Saccharomyces cerevisiae S288C: one gene and its partners. Changing the gene in region 2 together with the main gene of any one other region gives a genetic interaction. Each region holds a gene or a part of one and is shown on either strand. Other genes may lie near its edges.

The links. A genetic interaction does not mean that the proteins touch.
Region 1: mutations in CSE2 (region 2) and HTZ1 together harm fitness more than expected from each alone (negative genetic interaction), as found in Saccharomyces cerevisiae (5 studies listed by BioGRID, with this or other methods).
Region 3: mutations in CSE2 (region 2) and SAC3 together harm fitness more than expected from each alone (negative genetic interaction), as found in Saccharomyces cerevisiae (4 studies listed by BioGRID).

Annotation. Positions count from the first base shown.
Region 1 is NC_001147.6:303,079-305,638, forward strand, and holds HTZ1 (histone H2AZ), read right to left. Parts: upstream 906-2,560; coding exon 501-905; downstream 1-500. Other genes in the region: PLB3 (lysophospholipase), read left to right, coding at 2,271-2,560. UniProt on the Saccharomyces cerevisiae protein: Variant histone H2A which can replace H2A in some nucleosomes. Nucleosomes wrap and compact DNA into chromatin, limiting DNA accessibility to the cellular machineries which require DNA as a template.
Region 2 is NC_001146.8:641,885-646,883, reverse strand, and holds CSE2 (Cse2p), read right to left. Parts: upstream 3,141-4,999; coding exon 2,691-3,140; downstream 1-2,690. Other genes in the region: DEAH-box RNA-dependent ATPase PRP2, read left to right, coding at 1-2,564; NRM1 (Nrm1p), read right to left, coding at 3,445-4,194; LRO1 (phospholipid:diacylglycerol acyltransferase), read right to left, coding at 4,503-4,999. UniProt on the Saccharomyces cerevisiae protein: Component of the Mediator complex, a coactivator involved in the regulated transcription of nearly all RNA polymerase II-dependent genes.
Region 3 is NC_001136.10:770,190-776,282, reverse strand, and holds SAC3 (Sac3p), read right to left. Parts: upstream 4,407-6,093; coding exon 501-4,406; downstream 1-500. Other genes in the region: SSY1 (Ssy1p), read right to left, coding at 1-120; HOM2 (aspartate-semialdehyde dehydrogenase), read right to left, coding at 4,829-5,926; YDR157W (uncharacterized protein), read right to left, coding at 5,951-6,093.

The sequences.
Region 1 (2,560 bases), on a different chromosome or scaffold from region 2:
GATAGATGATTTTCTGGTTATAAAAAGGAACCAACAAATCGGTAGAAAGTCGACAGTATAACTAGTGGTGAAGCTGTTATTAGAAATGGTAGGGGGGTTTTTTTTTTGTCCTGTCGGCACGTATGGAAATTTATCGTCTATTAAACCTTTTCTTTGATTTGATTTCTACAGTGTACTTTTGTAGGTGTCCTTAATTTCCATTTTTCCGGGTATGCAAAGTTCAACAAAAAGAAAGCCCTGACCAAATTTCTGCGTACATAACGGCTACTGCGCTATCGTTGGGAATATTGTGTGAGAGTATATTTTCATGCTATATATTATAGTAAAAACATAAGAGATTAGACGTGAAAGGAGAGATAGATTACATATATGTATGTATATAACTCGGGTACGGAGAGACAAATTTCAACTTATAATAATGATACAGACGTTAATATGGATAGAATGAGGATACAGGAGCAGGGAGAATTACGGGAAATGGGAAAGAAAAACTATTCTTCTTATTTCTTACTTCCCTTTTTTTCCACTTTCAATAATAATGCTTTATTTATATGAGGCAAAACACCACCTGAAGCAATTGTAGCCCTGATCAAAGAATCTAACTCATCGTCACCTCTAATGGCCAATTGCAGATGTCTTGGGGTAATCCTCTTGACTTTAAGATCCTTGGCTGCATTACCAGCCAACTCCAGCACTTCAGCAGTCAAATATTCCAACACAGCAGTCAAATAAATGGCAGCTTTGGATCCTACTCTTGTTCGGCCGGTAGCGTGCCTTTTCAGGTAACGCTTAATCCTACCGACAGGAAACTGCAAGCCAGCCCTTGCTGAAGAAGATTGAGATCTCAATGAACCACTGTCTTTAGCGCCGGATTTACCTTTACCTCCATGAGCTTTTCCTGACATTATGTTAAGTTATTTTTACGTGCGGCTATAGTGCGAAATTGAATTTAACGATATTTTTTCCGACTGAAGTATAATAGAGTCCGCAGTGTTTTTTAGTTGGGGGTTGTGACTCTATTACACTGGATAATAGTTCAGCTGTTAAATAGAGCTGTATGCTTTATTTGTTGTTTTTTTTGTTTTGTTGTTTTCGTGCACGGAGCGAGCGCGGCGGGTTACGGAACACCAGCGGCCAGTTCTACGAGTAGTAAGTTACGGGCGTAAAGTTACTGTGTGCTAATCTAGCATGGATGCATTCAGTAAACCTTTTCAATTGAGTCTAACGTTCTCTAAAGAAAGAAGAATACTGCTATTTTAGGTATGTGCTTACTACCGCTTGTGCGGACCTGCCCTGATTCCAAGGTAAGAGACAGTGATTCTTGTCCTAAGCTCTTTTCTCCGGGGCGGGCGGGCGGCTGGCAGACATATTGATTGCGGGTAACACCTCCGAGGTTAATTAATCAAGCAACGTGCGGAGTTTTATCACATGGATGTTTCTTATCACCGGGTGCGCGCCACGCAATATATAAAACGGTAAACATACGCTGTTGCAAGGCAAGACACAACAGCGGCAAACACTTCAGAGAATACAGACGATAGTCATCAGCACTCCTAATAATCGTATAATGAATACTATACGAAGCTTTGTGCGTTGCAAAAAGAGCATACCAGGCGAAGAGAGCGCAGTTAGTAGGTGATCGGGAAATTGCTGAGTACAGTTGTTTGCCTCCTGTGATACCGCGTCACATGACCATTTAAAAGTGTCCATAATGTCATCGGTAACGTCACACTCACATGAGTTTTCCTGACTTCAGCCTCCTTCATCTCGCGTTAATACGCCAGCATCGCGCACCATATTACTGCCCGCGTAATCCAATTCCTCCTTTCGTTCTCAATGACTAAAACGCAAATCATTTTTCCTTTTTTTTTGAAACCGGTGGACGCCCCATAGAACTTCCAAATCAGGAAATACCGCAACTTCATCCGTTTTCGTTTCGCTTTAGTCCTCCACGAAAATATCTTGCCGGTTCCGCGAATGTTGTACTGGTTCTTCTGTGCAATGAGCCTTTTTCTCTTCTTTCTTTTTCCCTGCTTTTAAGATGGCTTGGCTATGGAATTACTCAATTTGGCACTTCTTTTGCAAGATCCAGACTTGCAGGGATTCTATCACCATTATTACCACACTACTATGTTATTGTTACGCTTTTCATCCACTTTTATATAAGTTATACGTGGTTTTACGAGTTCTAATATTTCACTTTTCAGCTTGGAATACGCCGTTTTAAGAGGACTAAAAGCAAGGAAATTACACACATAATAATATAAGTAATGATACGTCCATTATGTTCAAAAATTATTATCAGTTACATATTCGCAATTTCTCAGTTTCTACTGGCCGCTAATGCGTGGTCGCCCACAGATAGTTATGTTCCTGGCACCGTGTCGTGTCCCGATGACATAAATCTGGTAAGAGAGGCTACGTCTATATCTCAGAATGAGAGCGCATGGTTGGAAAAGAGGAATAAAGTCACTAGTGTAGCTTTAAAAGATTTCTTGACTAGGGCTACTGCAAATTTTTCAGATAGCTCAGAAGTTTTGTCGAAGCTATTTAATGATGG
Region 2 (4,999 bases):
ATGACAATGCAGTAAGAATAGAGCCTTCTTCCTTGGGTGAGGAAGAAGACAAAGAGGCCAAGGATAAGAACTCTGCCTTGCAGCTAAAACGATCACGCTATGACCCCAATAAAGTTTTTTCTAATACGAACCAAGGTCCAGAAAAGAACAATTTAAAAGGAGAACAACTTGGATCACAAAAAAAGTCATCAAAGTATGATGAAAAAATAACGTCAAATAATGAACTTACTACAAAGAAGGGTCTACTAGGTGACTCCGAGAATGAAACTAAGTACGCCTCTTCTAATTCTAAATTTAACGTAGAAGTTACTCATAAAATAAAGAATGCAAAAGAAATTGACAAAATAAACAGACAACGCATGTGGGAAGAACAACAATTGCGAAATGCTATGGCGGGGCAAAGCGATCACCCTGATGATATAACATTGGAAGGCTCTGACAAGTACGATTATGTGTTCGACACAGATGCAATGATTGATTATACTAATGAGGAGGACGATTTACTACCTGAAGAGAAACTTCAATATGAGGCACGTCTAGCACAAGCTTTAGAAACTGAGGAAAAGCGTATACTGACTATACAAGAGGCAAGAAAACTTTTGCCTGTACATCAATACAAGGATGAGCTACTACAAGAGATCAAAAAAAATCAAGTTTTGATTATAATGGGTGAAACCGGTTCTGGTAAAACCACACAGTTACCCCAATATTTGGTAGAAGATGGATTCACTGATCAGGGAAAGTTACAGATTGCCATAACACAACCACGTCGTGTGGCGGCCACTTCTGTTGCTGCAAGAGTAGCAGATGAAATGAATGTTGTGCTTGGGAAGGAAGTGGGTTATCAGATCCGTTTTGAAGACAAAACAACCCCAAATAAAACGGTTCTAAAGTATATGACGGATGGTATGTTACTAAGAGAATTTCTTACAGATTCCAAATTAAGCAAATATTCTTGTATTATGATTGATGAAGCTCATGAACGTACTCTAGCCACAGATATCCTGATAGGTTTGCTGAAAGATATTTTGCCGCAGAGGCCCACTTTAAAATTGCTTATATCATCAGCAACAATGAACGCAAAAAAATTTTCAGAGTTTTTTGATAATTGTCCCATTTTCAACGTTCCTGGGAGAAGATATCCTGTAGATATCCACTACACATTACAGCCGGAGGCAAACTATATACATGCCGCTATAACAACTATTTTTCAAATTCATACTACGCAAAGTTTACCGGGGGATATATTGGTGTTTTTAACGGGGCAAGAAGAAATTGAAAGAACAAAAACCAAACTGGAGGAGATCATGTCTAAATTAGGTTCTAGAACAAAACAAATGATTATAACTCCTATATACGCAAATTTACCCCAAGAGCAGCAATTGAAAATTTTCCAGCCGACTCCGGAAAATTGTAGGAAAGTTGTTTTGGCAACTAATATTGCGGAAACTTCATTGACCATTGATGGTATTAGATATGTCATTGATCCTGGATTTGTTAAGGAAAATTCGTACGTACCCTCCACTGGAATGACCCAACTTTTAACAGTTCCATGCTCAAGAGCTTCAGTTGATCAGCGTGCCGGTAGGGCTGGTCGTGTTGGGCCGGGAAAATGTTTTAGAATTTTTACCAAATGGTCATATTTGCACGAGTTGGAACTTATGCCTAAGCCTGAGATCACAAGAACAAATCTTTCTAATACGGTGTTATTATTATTATCGCTTGGCGTTACTGACCTAATAAAGTTTCCCCTGATGGATAAGCCCAGTATCCCCACATTACGGAAGTCTTTGGAAAATTTATACATTTTAGGTGCCTTAAATAGCAAAGGGACAATCACTCGGTTAGGTAAAATGATGTGCGAGTTTCCTTGTGAACCTGAATTTGCAAAAGTGCTTTATACAGCTGCTACGCACGAACAATGTCAAGGTGTACTAGAAGAGTGTTTGACCATAGTTTCGATGCTACATGAAACACCTTCATTATTTATTGGTCAAAAAAGAGATGCTGCGGCAAGTGTGTTAAGCGAAGTGGAAAGTGATCACATATTGTATTTGGAAATCTTCAACCAATGGAGAAACTCTAAATTTTCCAGAAGTTGGTGTCAAGACCACAAAATTCAATTCAAAACGATGTTGAGGGTAAGAAATATTAGAAACCAATTATTCAGGTGCAGTGAAAAGGTTGGATTAGTTGAAAAGAACGACCAAGCCAGGATGAAGATAGGCAATATAGCGGGCTACATAAATGCTAGAATAACTCGATGCTTCATCAGCGGGTTTCCGATGAATATTGTACAATTAGGCCCCACCGGCTATCAAACCATGGGTAGGTCATCAGGTGGGCTGAACGTTAGTGTTCATCCTACCAGTATACTTTTCGTTAATCATAAGGAAAAGGCGCAGAGACCAAGCAAATATGTGCTTTATCAACAATTGATGCTAACGTCGAAGGAATTTATCAGGGACTGTCTAGTTATCCCTAAGGAAGAATGGTTGATAGACATGGTTCCACAAATCTTTAAAGATTTAATTGACGATAAAACAAATAGGGGGAGGCGGTGAAGGTTTTTTGACAGGTGTATGTGTATTGCTAGAAACGCAGGCTCCATTCTATATGCACGTTTGAAGATGTGGTATGCGTATGTATATATATATATATATATAGACTAAAGATAGATAGCATAGATTTTATCGTTGTAACTTGCGATAAAGATCATCCAAGACGTCTCTCTTAATTTGCAGTTCTTGTTCACGTTGATGGATGATATCCTGCCATTCTGATGGACTTTTACTTAATAAATCCTTGGTATCTTCGTTTTCCGATATCAAAGATTTACAAAGTTTCAAACGATGTCTAATCGAACCTGTTAAGGTTTCCAATTGATTTGAGAGATTGTTTGGATCCTTCCTTATTTGGTGCAGCGAATAAAAAATATGCGGTATAAATTCACCGTTGGAACTGGTGGAGGGAGTACTCAGATTTTTCGGCTGCTGGTTGGTAAGATAGTCTTTTTCATCTCTATTTTCTGCAGACGAAAATTCTTCCTTTGTAGCCTCAGCATTAGGTTTATCGAGAGTAGGATTCGTAGGCAGCAGAATCTGGTGTATCTGATTTAAAACGTTGTTCTGTAGATTCATTTTATGGCGACTTTCAGTGCTCGTGTCTCTCTGGTAGATGCTGGTATGCTTCGCCTTCTTTTTCCCATTTATGCATGTTCTCTTTTTTTCTTTTATTTTCTTCAATTCGGTTACAGTTAATGGCCGCAGTAGAATTGCAATCGATACTAATAAAATCAGGTTTTATATGATATTCTATCTAATTATACGTACAGAACTAAAGCGGAAGTGAAAAGGTAATGTGGAAGATATACGAAGACAATAATATTATTATATACACAATGAAGGAGAATGAAAATGAAAGATAGAAATATTGGGGGTGGGATTATTGGTTACTTGTAAAGAGATGAATTAAAGACTTAGCGGCTTTGATGCTTGTAGGTGTTTCTTGTCTCTGATACAATGTGCGATTATGACTGTTTGAATGCTTTGTGTTTATGTTGTTGCGTATTGGTGTGGTGGTATCTGCGACGTTCATATCTGCGGTAGTGCTCGAGCTTTCGCTGACACCGCGGAAAGATGTAAAGGAAGATGTATTATCGTGAGAGCAAATCGAAGATGGAGTTTTGATCTTAGACCTAGCAGGGGTTTTATAATGACCCTGAGATAGTACTAATTTTCTTCTCCTAGTTAAAGGTTCTGATTTACTGTGAGTCGCGACTTTGGAAGGCCTCGTAATGCTATGCTTTGATTTCAAGTCTGTGAAATTTTTGTCTGTTTGCTTAGTCTTGTATTTATAATAGGCGAACTGTAAACGAATTTGCAACTTCTTGGAAAGCTCAGAGTAATCTCTAGACGTTGTTTTCGTACTAATACCATCCTGGCATGAGGACTTACTGGCACAAGCCATACCTCCGCCACTGCTCCTCATTAGGGGAACAGGAAGACTCTTCGTGTTTTCGTATACTTCAGGACTAACCATCAAACTCTTGATAGAGGGAAGACACACAGTCCCGACGTTGTTTTCTCCATGGTTTCTAGGCTCGCTAGCGTCTGCAATATTGGCAATTGCCAGTTTGTTGATCTTCGAGCTGGAAAACTCCCCCAGTGGTAGCCTCTGCTTCATAATGGACATGAACGGTTGTTTTTCCTCTATGCGTACGTCGCTGCTGCAATTGGCCCTCTCCGCAGCCTACTTAGAAAACAGTGTTTTAAGTTTGTGTATATATAATCTATAAAAGCAAATAACCAATTACACAAACCTGTCAAAAACCTTCTCCTCTATCTACTGTCGTTTGTTTTTTCGTTTGTTTTTTCGCCTTTTTTTGTTTTTGTTTTTGTTTTCTGTTTATTTTCTAGCCTAAAAAGGCGCGTCGACGCGACGCGCCTTCTTTTCGCTCTTTGAAATAATACACGGATGGATAGTGAGTCAATGTCGGTCATTTACATTGGGAAGGGCATCTGAGAAACCCACTGGCTCAAATTAGACAATTGGCGTGGCTCGACGAGATCGCCATTACCGCTTGCAATTTTCAAGATGTAATCGTTCAACTCCGCGCTGCCGAGGATGTCTACGTGTTCGGCGCTTTTTGCTCCACCACGTATATCAAATCGATCTGGCTGGTGTTTCATTTCCACAATAGTAACGTTAATTCCGGCAGGGTTGTACGGTGAAGCACCCTGGGCCCATTTGTGACACATTGAATGCGCCACGAGCGGAACGGTTCCGTCCCCCTCGGTGAGGAATACAGGTTGCTTGCTTTCGTAGTCGATGGTCAAATTCAGAGCAGAGGAGTCATCCTCTTCCTTATATACATATGCCCTTTCAGTTGGGTTGTTCACCCCGTATATACAATAGATTTTCATGTGGGGAGCTTCTGGAAGTGGTACTTCCATTGGATTCGACCAGTGCTTGTGGTGTAGCTCATTTTTTCTTAACT
Region 3 (6,093 bases), on a different chromosome or scaffold from region 2:
TCCGTCTGTATCATTCTTAGCAAGGCTGGACGAAGTATCATGCTCCTGTGAATGAGAATCTGTAAATTGGATATTATGCTTATTGGGAAATAGGTCATATATTTGGTTGACAGAACTCATATTCCTCAAGGAACTTCCCTATTTTTAAGCAGTTTATAACTTTTTGGCCTCTTATCACACGCCTGTTTCCTTTTTTCCCCTAGAGATGCTTCTATTAGTCTTCAACAGTATATGATTATGATAGGCAATGCATGTGTAAAGTTAATATATCAGAAGACTTTTCCCTGAGAACGTGTATGTATACTCTGTAGGTCTTTTGATATAACTCTGTATTTGCAACCCTGGCTTCACTTTTTGCACAATTATTGAATTTTTCTTCCGCCGAGCTTTAGAGAAAAGGATGGCACGCCGACAGTAATAAGAAATGGGTGATTATCAAATACTTTTCCTAAAGCTATAGAAAAAATGCACATTTCTTTTGTTTATATATTACAAATGCTTTAATCATTATTTACTTTCTTCTTGACAGAATCGATCAAGATCTTCAGCTCTAATATACTATCAGGAATGTCCTCCTTACCTTGATCGGCCCCATCTAGCACAGGAGTAACAGGATTAATTGGTGTTTGACATATTTCTTGATTTCCCAGAATCCTTTCAGAAACGTTATTCAAATATACAGATGTACTCTTCTGGTTTTCGATTAATTGTTGGGACTGTATATCGGTGGTGTTATTCCCGCTAAAACTTGCAGCTGGTATGTTATTACTATGGCTTGGTGTGCTAACGGGTAATACGGTATGTAAACTAGTAACTCTCGAGTTTTTCCTGAATTTCATCGCCAAATGAGATGGTAAAGGTGGTGAAGTAGACGAACCAGAGGTGTTTAATCTAGAAGCTAGAGGAGTTTTAAATTGGCTCGAATGAGAAGTTGACAGGAGTATTGGCAATTTCCTTTTCTTGCTTCTTGGTGATGCATCTATATGCGATTCTAGATGCGCATAGGTGTTCCTTTCGCCTATTTGTTGTTGGTACTTGTTTTTCTCTTTTTCCAGCATTTTCTTCATCTTTTGATCAATGTCCTTTGTAGTTTGTAGTTGAGTGCTACGTGAGTGAATGCCGGCCAATGACCTTTTCTGACGAAGTGTTTTATCATATTTTCCCCTTTCTGTCAACTTGTACACATAAGAATGTGATATTTCAGATAATTTGTCCTCTAAACACTTATGAGGGGATTCTTCGGTGAGATTCATTAAGTCAATGCGTTCAATAACACTACTATAGTTTTTAGATATTCGGTTTAATTTTAGTAAGTGTTTAATGGTACTTTCCGATAAAGTATTTTCTGCGGATTCCCAATAAATAATCAAAAGGGAAAAGCATATATTTGTATTTAGAGAAATACCAGTGATTAGCTTTATCAGTTCTTCACCATCATCTTTCAGTTTCATCTCCAAATCGAATATATCTGGATTCGTAACACCTGTATTAAATATCAATAATTGCAAATCACTAAAATCAGATGGTTCATATTCATCATCAATACAAATTATTCTGCTAGAGATAATATTATTGCTGAACTTTTTTGAATCCTGTGCTGTTTGCAGATTGAACTTACTTAAGATCCAACGGTTTGAGAGTGATGTCCAATCTTTCGCATAAATGAATAAATTTGCCGGAGTAAGAGAATTGGAGGGGAACTTTTTCGTAAGGTTATCATAATAGATTGATTGCATCTCTAACGGCCGCCAAAGTTTTGAAATCTTGGTTAAATGAGTCGCAAACTTATTAAACTCGTCATTTACAGGTGAAAATATTAGATTCTTATCTGAAGATGATAGCATAAATGATGAATTTACGTTACCCTTATACGGGGTTCTAAACAAACATGTAGATTTTTTAAAACCTGGTACTCCTAATTGGTGGCTTACGAGTTTAATTTCTTCCCTTTTTTTTTCTTCTAATATACGGTTCTTCTTTGCTTGAGAATAAGATGCTTGCCATTTCTCAAAGAACTTTTTTTTTAGAGTGGAATTCCTTTTCAATTCAGCACGAGAATCCATATATATCAGATACAACCTTTCATGAAGAAATGCGTCATAAAGTTCACGGGTCATTGTGTCAATGAAGTCCTTCCTATAATTAGCCTCTGAAAATTCACGCTTAACAATACTAATCACGCTACTGTTTACCACTTCTTTTACTAAGTCATTTGCAATTTGTTCAGTGATTACTTGTTTGTCCGCATTTTCTTGCTTCTTTTTCAATTGAGTTTTCTCTTCTTCTATTCGTTGTTCTTCTTTTTTCCTCATTTCTTCTTGCTCTGAACTCAACTTCTCATCATATGCACCATTGCTGGTCGTGGATATCATATGAGCCTTGGAAGCTTCCACCGTAGAATTCTGTGCTGATTGATCAAAAACAAATGGGGAGCCTCCGTCTGTGACGGTTTTAATTTGTTGTTGTTTCTGTTCCGATAGGTCTCCATGAACCTGTGGCGTTAATAAAGGATTTGTTGATAAAGTATGAGATTGAGATATTTGAGGTAATTGCTTAGATTCCTGTGAAAAAGGAAAGTGGTTGGGCCGCGTTGCAACTCTTTTTGGAGAGGTATTGATCTGTGGTTTAACGGATGAGTTTTGGTTCAACTTTTCGTTATAGTTGTTTTGAAAATTTTCCATTAAAAAAGATTGGTCTGCGATAGAAGGTATTCTATCCTTTTTTGGGTCCTTCACATAAACCGAAGAAGCCAAATTATCTTCACCGCCATTAATTAAACCCTTGTAAGTAGTTTTCTGTAATCTCCTTTCTAAGCAGGTAAGGTATGTTTTTTTTAAAGGTTGTGTTTCTGACAATTTGTGAGAATAATGTTGCAATGTTTTCAAATCGGCTGCATCCCCATTTATGATTTCAATTGAGTAATAATTACAAAATTCAATTATTTCTTGCCGATTATTAAAGAGTAACATATTTTCCAAATAAATAAATGGTATTGGTTTATGCTTTTTGTTTAAAGTATGTGATAAAGCTCTTAGCGCATAAAATCTAATATCCGTCAGATGCATTTGCAAAAAAAATCCCATTAATAATGGCAAGCTGGGTGATTGCATTAACTGGAAAAACCTTGCGTAGAAGTTTAAACAATTCTCAGTTTTAACAAACCCGCGTTCAGTATAAGCTGAGTTAGATATAACCCTTCTGAAACATAAAGCCATTTGAACTAATTTATCTTGGAAAATATGTTTTGGTAATCTTTGGATATTCTCATCGTATTGAGGGTCTCTTATTTTACTCAGGAGAGCATAAGCTCGAAATTCAGCCTCATTTGGGCATGTTCCGCCGCTGGAACGAACGTCATCGTATATTTCTGATAACGTGATAAGGGATTTATGCAATTGTTCTAGTTCTTGTTGAAGCGAAAATTCCACATTTGATTTCACCATGATATGCAAGATCAGAAGATGTATCCTAACAATACGCTCATTACAATCTACCGCCTCAGGTCCTGAATAGTTCTGATATGTAAAGTCCTGCCTTATGGATCTCATCCTATCCCATAAGAATCCTTCGCTTTCAGGCAATGTTGTTAATAAGTTATCTACAATATAGTCCAATGTCTTGACTAAAATATGGGGTGGCCTAACATCAGAAGGTAAAGGAGGAGCTGCTGCTGCTGCTGGCCTCGCGAAGACCTTCAATGCTTTAGTTCGAGAAGCTTTTTTATCATTTGGTTGATTTTTTTCATATGAATACACAGTATATTCAACGTTTCTTCTTGATCTCTCGAATGTGGGACACATATCTAAACAGGTACCTTGAAATACTATAGCATCGTAAAGATCCTTTGCTGAGTCAGCTTTATCCACTAGCCCTTTTTCTTCCATTATCGATCGCTCAGTATTTCTCATTTTTTTTAGTGTTTCATACAATTCATTGAGATCATCTATGGATTCTTCCAATGAGATCATTTTTTCTTGATTAGCCTTGTCCCAGGGATCTTGTACAAAAGCTCTTTTCTCCAATTGAGGTTCTTGATTAATCAAAAACCTTGGTAATTCTCTTGCTTTGTGCGATCTCTTCTGAAATCCCAAATTATCAGGAGAGGAAATCAGTGGACCTACAAGTTGAATGGTCTTGGCATCGTTTATCATATATTTTTTCTTTTTATCTGGTTTATTTTCCGTGTAGGAAGGTGAGTGTGAGAGATTTTGTAACGGTTGCTGCGACTTCTTTTGAGAGGTAGAGTGCACCATGAAGACATTTTTCGAAGGTTTCGTTTCATTGCTATTTAAAAAGAAATTGCTGTTGTTAACAGTACTATTGGCACTAGTGTTATCATTATTTCCATGCCCTTTGAAAAAATTGAAATTAGTGGAAGGCACTACTGAGCCAAATGATGTGTTCATTTAAGGGATACCTTCCAAGAGTATTACCTGAAATGAGTACCAACAGTGCTATTGTGAGTGTATCCCAGCTTTGAGATATGTCTGCTGCTTTCCTCTCTCCTTTTTTTTCCCATGTAAATGAGTTGTTTGTATGCATCACTACGCTCTCTGTTTAGCTTTTTTCTTGGGTCAGCGAGAGAATTACCTTTTCTTGAAGTGGAAGAAAAATAATAAAGGCTTGGTATTATACTATTGAAAAGAAAAGAAAAGAAAAAATAATGAACATTGAATCACGAATTCTCGAAACTCAAGAAACTAATAATAAAGATCTACGTTTCAAATTATTATACGTATATTCATACACATATACTTATTTACTTGTTTTGTATTTTTTGTTCGTTCGAAAAAAAAGTAAGATGAAGACATAACTTTGCAATTTTTCCTTAAATCAAGTTTCTTGCTAGTAAGATTTCGGCAATCAAGACACCAGAACCAGCGGCACCAATAATGGTGTTGTGGGAAAGGACAACCATTTTGAAATCTAACAATGGGTCTTCTCTGATTCTACCAACGGAAACACCGTAACCGCTGTCTCTGTTCCTGTCCAACCTTGGTTGAGGTCTGTCTGGTTGTTCCAAAACATGAATAGTTTGCTTTGGAGCAGAATGACAGCCTAATTTGTAGGCATCGCAGACGTATTCTTTTAGGCATGTCTTGACTTGCTCGACGGATGGAGCAGGTCTGTTCTTGAACCTCAAAGAGATACATTCGGTGTGCCCATCGGAAACAGCGACTCTGTTACATTGAGCAGAGACTTTGATTTCTTCTGGAGTCAATAGTTTGACGTGTGTCTTGTCTTCTGCTAATGGAGCCAAGATTTTCTTGGTCTCCCATTCCATCTTGTCTTCTTCACCACCAATGTATGGAATAATATTGTCTAGAATATCAATACCTGGTACACCTGGGGAGAAACCAGCACCTGAGATTGCTTGCAAAGTAGTAGTGGTCAAAGCATCAATAGGACCGAATTTTTCAATCAAAGGCTTCAATGGTGCAACCAAACCTGCAGTGGAACAATTGGAAATACAGATAATGAACCCTGGTCTTGGCTTACCTTGAGCCTTGGCGGTGTCAAGCTTTTGAGCTACAATATCCAAATGCTCAGGATTGACAACAGGAACAATCAATGGCACATCTTGTTCTCTTCTATAATTCTTGGCATTGGAAACAATGGCGATACCAGCTTCCATGAATTCCTTTTCGATAGCGCCAGCATAGTCAGCATCCAATCCGGAAAAGACGATGTCACACTCTTTAAAGAATTCAGATTTACATTCGGAAACAATAATATCGGTAGCAGATTCCGGTAGCAAATCGGTTTGCTTCCAGTTCACAGCGTCAACGTATTTCTTGCCAGCTGATCTAGAAGAGGCACCAAGAACTTTCAGTTCGAAATGAGGGTGATTTGCCAACAACAGAATGAAACGTTGACCAACGGAACCAGTAGCACCCAAAACACCAGCAATTTTCTTTCCAGCCATTTTAGAACGCTTTATTTCTACAATTTAATTTGTATGTGTACTTAAGTGAAAACAAGAAAAACAAGATTTAATTTTATACTCGAAAGTGAATGAACAAATAAATATGGTTCTTTTATTTATTTTTTCTGCTTTTCTATTTTTCTCTAACATTTTGAACTGGTAGTAGT